Drosophila melanogaster: one gene and its partner. The protein of the gene in region 2 interacts with the protein of the main gene of each other region in a biochemical or structural test. Each region holds a gene or a part of one and is shown on either strand. Other genes may lie near its edges. The genes, in order: Den1 and Nedd8.

Region 1 (3,912 bases), on a different chromosome or scaffold from region 2:
TAGTGCACAGTGCAAGCACGGATCTCCCAAGTACGATCATCTGGTGCGCAAACGAAATGAGCTGAGGGAGGAGTTGCAAAGCCTGCTGGGCGATAATGGTGTGCTGATCTATCCCACGCATCCCACGGTGGCTCCATACCACAATGAGCCCATTACGCGACCCATTAACTTTGCCTACACTGGTATTGTCAATGTGCTGGGCTTCCCGGCCACCGCTGTGCCGCTGGGCAAGCTGGGCAGCGAGGGTCTGCCACTGGGTGTCCAAATCATCGCCAACTTCAATCAGGATCGACTTTGTTTGGCCGTTGCCGAGGAATTGGAGCGAGCCTTTGGCGGTTGGGCCAAGCCCGAAGTTCGGCTCTAGGAGCAGTCTCAAACGTGCAAGTATGCAGCTTAGCTAGCTTTTAGATAGTAGTGGTCAGGTTAACGTCCTGGTCTCCCCCCACCCATTACTAACTACCCCTACCCACCCGAGCATTCGCCTGGCGATGAAAGGTATTCCTTGTGTACTCCAGTGCCTCATTGTAATATCAATTTTCGATGTGGATTTATCTATTTTGTATGTGTTTTTAAATGTAATCTAATCATAGATCCGCGCGGATCCGTTCCCGTTTTGCATTTATAATAAATAATTGCAACCAACTGATATCTTTGTTTTCATTAATTGGCGACAGGCGCCCATTGACCAAACAAGCAGAGAAGTCAGAATTCTGAATTCGAAGCCAACGCGTTTTGTGGCTAAACAAATCTTTATTTTGAAAGACCAACCTTAAAAATATGCCGACTCACCGCCTCAATTGCTTTTAGTTTGCTTTTGTTTTTTAAACATTTTCATTCGGCAAGGAAAACTAAACCCACTACAACTAGCGATATCATGGATATCGTATTCACATATGTAATTCCGATGCTCCTCTCATTCTTCGGCAACGAGTTACATTCGTAATTTGGTCACTTAAAAACTACTCGGCTGTGGGCGGTTCGGCAGGGCAATCCTCGCTAGCCTCTAGCCCTTGCCGCCCAGCGACAGGATGAGTTTCAGTAGCTCGGTGCGCTTCGCCTTCACGGTGTCGATGTGCAGCGACGGCAGTCCGTCGATCACCTCGTATCTGTTTAGGTAATCGGCAATGTGGTCGGTCATGCAGATAACATGGATGCCACAGTCGTAGCCGTTCGCCTGCTGTAGGCAGCGCATGGGCCGGAATTTGGCCATTCGGACGCCAAGCAGGTCCTTGATCTTGTTCATCAGCTCCAGGGAGTTGCCCGTGTTGTTGTTCCCATACGAATCGAAGTGATAGAAGGTCTTCTCCGGACGCGAGAAGACCAACAGTGACCAGTGGCTGCCACCAGCATCGGTGGTTTCGTTGTCGTTCAGCGCGAAGAAGATAAAGGGCTTGCCAGTGGTGTTGCTCTGGTCGAGAAGCTGCTTCAGCTCCTGGTCGCCCATGTACTTCATACACTGCGTAATCTCCGGCGCAATGAAGTGCAGATCCGCATTGGTCTTGTACTTCATGTGGGCCAGGTATTCGTAGTAGAAGCTCAGGATCTGGTCGTTCAGCCAGTGCGGGCCGTGGAGCAACTGGACGTCGGACATCCGCAGGCAGGAGTCGTGGAAGGTCAGCGAGATGGGGTCTGCCTTGGAGTTGCTGCCCATTTTGGTATGGAAGCTATTGTTGGTGAATCTGGGGCGCCGGCGATTCGTATTCTGGTTCTGGCGTGTATGTTGCCTGGAATGAAAATAAATGGCAAAAAATTGATTTAAATCATGTTGTTGCGACTAGATTCGTGTTGTTCCAGCTGGCGACTATCACCTAAGTATTTTCCTATCGTGGGGCAACATTTTCACTAACAATCTTCGCGAAAATTCGGCTAAAAGAATAAAATTTTTCCGGCGACTAATACAACTCCAGGGTTTCAAAGTCAACGCAGGAATGACGTTTTCGGTTTCCTTTTGCTTTTGCTTTCCCTTTCGTTTGCCGGCCGGTACTGTTGTTATTGTTGTGGTTTCAAAGCAATCAGAAATCAGTCATGCCAAGCGCATTTTAAGAACACTATAATCGTATTTTAAACCAAAATAAACATATCGAAATTAACTAATCTTCGTACAAAGCTGTTTTGTTATTGTCTTTGACAACGAATGGGCGTAGCAAAACAAAATAGAGGACACTGAGGAGGTGAAGGTGGTGGTCAGATCCCCACATATATATTTTTTACTCACCACGAAAAATGGCTACTCCTCCTCCTCGAAGTCGCGACCTCGCTTTTTGTCCGTTCTTTGGACACTCCTCGCGTATTACCATTTATTTGGCTGTTTGGGAGCAAATAACTTGAATTTACCAACTGATATTTTCACTAATATAAAAAGTTACACAACACTCTGAATAGTTTTTCCGCTTTTCCGCTCAAATAATAAGTCGCCGTACTGTATATCTTACTTTCTGGCTTGGGCTGCCAGACTGCTCGCTAAATAGGTGGCAGTGCAGACTGTGAAATGCAGTGTTGCCTAATGTGGCAAAGTTATAAAAAGTAATTTAAATATGTATAATTTAATTACAAATATTTTTTATTCCTTTTAAAAAGTTTTTTGAATTTATTAAGTTCACATTTTTAACATTTCTTGCAATCTGATTTTTTTTTTTTTTGAATTTATTAAGTTCACATTTTTAACATTTCTTGCAATCTGAATTTTTTTTTTTTGAATTTATTAAGTTCACATTTTTAACATTTCTTGCAATCTGGCTTATAATTTTCAGGGCAAACTTGCTTTTCGGGTATGTTGAAACTCGCAGTGGTATTAAAATTAGTTTGGCATTTAGTTTCCGAAGAAGTCTCGCTGGATTCTGGAAACGGGGCACATCCTTCGTCAGGATTCCACGTACCCCCTCGCAACTGCTCTTCCAACCACTTAAGTTGCTTGTTTATCTAGAAAATTACAATTCTTTTAAGCGTTTTTTTTTTCATTTATGTAAATATGCAAACAAAAATTATTGCCTTTTCTACCATCTCCTCGTCTCTTTCGCTTCCAAATAAATTGGCTGTAAATTGGTAGATATTCGATGGCTTTGCCTTAACCGCCTCGGCTGTAATGACCCGAATTATGGCTCGGATCTCTGGATGGCGTTGTAGATATGTCCAATCGTCCTTGCGCATATTTCGGGAAATATTTCCAATAGTTTCATAAAATTTTGATACGTTTTCGTTAATGTTTTTAGCATGACTAGTATTTTCCGTGTTTTCGGTTTCCTCAGCGCTTGATGTTTTCGTGACATCCATATTCACTTTGCCAGAAAAATGTATATTTTCAAATTTTAATTATTTTGAAGTATTTCGTTCATTGGTGCTTGTGGACTTAAAACTCAACGAGTTTTCGATAACCAACATTTTGTACAAAATAGCCAATTCCAAGCTTAAAAATAAAAAATAACCCAACTCCGTGACAATGTTTATTTGAACATTGCCGTGACCAGGATTCGAACCTGGGTGTGGTAACCCACAACGTGGGGTCCTAACCACTAGACGATCACGGCTACATTGGATTGCGCCCAGCAATTCCAAGATCCCACCACGTCACCTAATAAAAAAAAATTGCAGATGTAATTAGTAAACACTACCCCAAATCAAATAGAAAATCAAATAATAAGATTAGCAAAAACATGTTTTATCATTTATTTATATATCATTTCAATTTGTTTAATAATTATTTTCATTTTCATCAAAATAATTAGAGTGTAAAAAAATACCCAACTCCGTGACAATGTTTGTTTCAACATTGCCGTGACCAGGATTCGAACCTGGGTTACCACGGCCACAACGTGGGGTCCTAACCACTAGACGATCACGGCTACATCGGGTGATGCGAGGTCTATGCCAAATGACTAATTTTAGCAAAGTGCGCAGAAAATCATAGCAAGTAAG
Region 2 (3,256 bases):
CAAAGCTTTCTCCCTGCTTCAAGCTCAGAAAAGATCAAACGAATTGGGTTTGACCAACTGCGTTTTTTACCAATGCAACATAGATTACTTTGTCGGAGGATTCAAGATCGGGGCCTCTTTGCACGCGTGTGGAACGGCGACAGATATCGTTTTGCAGCAGTGCCGGAGAGCCAAGGCACATTTTGTTTGCTGTCCTTGCTGCTACGGTTCTCTGCAGCCCATGCCTCACATTTCGTACCCATTGAGCAAAGCGTTCCAAAAGGTGTTAGACACAAAGGACTACTTGTACATTGCCCACTCGGCAGATCAGGCACACGAGATGGGGACAACCAACTGCAAGCCAGAAACCACGCTTCAAGGACTCCACTGCATGTCCGTGGTGGACACCGATCGCCTGCTGCAGGCGGAGGAGGCGGGCTACCAGGTCATTCTCACACGCTTAAAGCCCGAACAGTGTACGCCAAAGAATCACCTGCTAGTCGGACGTTTTGTTAAACAGAACTGAACTTACAATCTGCCACTGAGACAAAATAAATGCCTTTTTGATATGTTTTAAACCTTAGCCCACCATTGTGGAGTGTTCTTCTTTTTTTCGAATGATTTAGATGTTGGCTTACAAAAAAACATGTTTTATTACGGACCCGGTTGGCCCCAATCCATTCTGTCTAAATTCCTCCGATGCGAATACACTTTGTTTTCTTCTAAACCACTTTTAAGACTTCTTTTTAGTTTACATATATTAATTCTCCATATGACGCTTCTCAAGCTTAATATATTTGAGTGAATTTTAAATGAATGTTTTCCACTTATGAACACGCTAGTTACACACAAGGTGTTAGGATTGAATCACCTCCTCGCAGAGCCAATACCAAGTGAAGAACGGATCCACCTTGCACTTTGTAGTCCGCCGCGGTTTTATCGTCATTCCTGGGGGGGATCGCATGCGAAATAAGCTAAAATCAATGACCAATAGCCAGAAAGACTCACATTTGCTTGCCGGAGAAAATAAGACGCTGTTGCTGGGGCGGAATGCCTTCCTTTTCCTCCACGCGCTCCTTGATGCGATCTACCTTGTCCGTGGGCTCAATGTCGATCTCGATTTCCTTGCCGGTCAGGGTCTAATGGAAAGATAATACATATTTACATTAATAATCCAGCCACACATATATTGACTGTAATATTCGACGATTTTGTTGTTGTTCAAAGTGCCCGCTGGGCACGATGGCTGTGATTTATCTTTATCCTACTTTTTTGCTACTCCATATCTTCCACACTAACCTTCACTTTGATCAACATTTTGTGTGTATTTAACTAGGCGCTCCTGTACAAATTCAAAATTGCCGAAATTTTTGCAAATCTCCACAGCTGGTTCTCTTTTTTGGCTGTCACTTTCGGCGTTGGTACGACTGGCAACTATCGATAGTACTGTCGATGACCATCGATTGTTTTCCACACTATTACAAATATAGTATTTTCTCCATCATTCCATCTCTACACAATTCACGTGTAAAAAAATACATTTCGAAAAAGGAGAACTTAATTTATGTAAATTTTTTGTAGCTTGATTTATAGTGTGCCCATTACGGTTAGAAGTCTCACATATTTAGAATTCAAATTCTCCTTAAATTATTTTACTCATGAGATGCAAAAATCCATTGAATGCCATTACTACATTTTTTAACTTTTGAAAAAAATGGAAGGCGTCACTTTTGAGGGATTTGAATTAAGAGCAATTTGTTTATTAATGTTTTATCTCGGATCTTAGAAAATTAAAAAGTATTTTTTTGTCTTTTGTCTTTTCTGTTTTATTAAAATAAGTTGTATGCCTTAATAACTAAATACATTTATTTACAGTACTAAATGGATAACTACTTTGTTCTTTTCGAAGGTACTGAGATCCCCAGCTTAGAAGTTCATCCCTATGAGAGCTTCTTCAGTTTGTTCCAGTCGCGAATGGCCTCCCCGATGTGGCGTATATCCCTCGCATAAGTGCGACAGCATCCCCCAATGACCTTGGCCCCCAGTTGCGCCCACTCCGGAACGTAGTTCGCCAAGGGCACACAGTGCTCCCTTCCCTGCCAGCCGTTGACCACGTCGTATACCTCTCCGCTATTGGGGTACACCACCAACGGTATCTGCTCACCCACTTCGCGGTCACCATTCAAACTCTTAAAGAGCGGGGTCACAAACTTCGGATGCACACAATTTACTCCGATGGCCAGGCACTTATCCTGGGCATTTCGTTCAGCCAAGAGGTCCCAAATAGCATTCGCCGCGTCCGCAAAGGTTTCTCCATGCGCCAGGGTATTCTCATCCTTGCACTGGAAGGCCACCCAGAACTTCACATCCGGATAATCATCGCACAGCATCTCCACCAGGGCCTCCGCCTCCATTTGACAGGGAATCGTCTCGATGGCCAGCGCATCCACACCAGCCTCCAAGCACGCTTCGATCCTCACGCGATGCCAGTCCGTAATCTCCTTGGCCGGCACAAAGTCGGCATAGCTACCGGTGTACTCGGAGCCATCGTGCAGGTGGGCCCCAAAGGGTCCAATGGAGGCAATGATCAAAGGGTATCCTTTAAAAACAATAAATTGGAATATATAATTGGTAAATATTACTATATATAAAATAAAGTATTAAAGAAAGTATTAAAAGTAATGACCCTACCACATCATTCACTTGACCACAATCTAAATTAATCCCGCCCGAGCTGGACCTCATGGATGTCAACTTACCCTCCTGCACCGACAGCTGCGCCTGATAGCACTCGGTGAGATAGCGTTCCTTGGCGATGTGGGCCAGGCGGACCGTGTTCTTTATCAGCTCGATGCTCTGCTCCTCGTCCAGCTCCAGGTACTCCATGTAACCATCGACACTGGACTGGTAGGTGTTGGTCAAAATGATATCGGCACCATCTGGTGTTGTCAAGGGGAAAATTCAGTTAGTATGTTGCCAATTGCTACCGGAAAACAATTGCTTACTCTGCAAAAAGTCCAGGTGGGTGCTGATAATGGCCGCCGGATTGGTGGCATTGAAGCGGGCACTCCATAGCGGATCCCCATCCACAGAGTCACCCACATGGACGGTCATCTGGGTGCCGAAACCGCCATCCTTCACCAGCACGCGCGTCAAACCCATGATTGAAAGATTACTAAGAGGGGTGGAGGATGATCCGTTGAAAATTGATTATTAGTTACATTTCTACGTCAGCGGGCTGCGAGATAATTAAATATGTATATTGCGTCTGCCACCT

The links.
Region 1: the proteins of Nedd8 (region 2) and Den1 form a complex in vitro, tested with the Drosophila melanogaster proteins (one study listed by BioGRID).

Annotation. Positions count from the first base shown.
Region 1 is NT_033778.4:12,336,345-12,340,256, reverse strand, and holds Den1 (deneddylase 1), read right to left. Parts: upstream 1,958-3,912; 5' UTR 1,838-1,957; coding exon 1,809-1,837; intron 1,725-1,808; coding exon 1,004-1,724; 3' UTR 713-1,003; downstream 1-712. Other genes in the region: CG8839 (uncharacterized protein), read left to right, coding at 1-364; CG34021 (uncharacterized protein), read right to left, coding at 2,716-2,919, 2,989-3,270.
Region 2 is NT_033779.5:18,950,420-18,953,675, forward strand, and holds Nedd8 (Nedd8 ubiquitin like modifier), read right to left. Parts: upstream 1,419-3,256; 5' UTR 1,297-1,418; coding exon 1,279-1,296; intron 1,119-1,278; coding exon 988-1,118; intron 928-987; coding exon 822-927; 3' UTR 587-821; downstream 1-586. Other genes in the region: CG10428 (uncharacterized protein), read left to right, coding at 1-505; CG10621 (uncharacterized protein), read right to left, coding at 1,920-2,578, 2,739-2,918, 2,985-3,141. UniProt on the Drosophila melanogaster protein: Ubiquitin-like protein which plays an important role in cell cycle control, embryogenesis and neurogenesis. Covalent attachment to its substrates requires prior activation by the E1 complex Uba3-Ula1 and linkage to the E2 enzyme UbcE2M.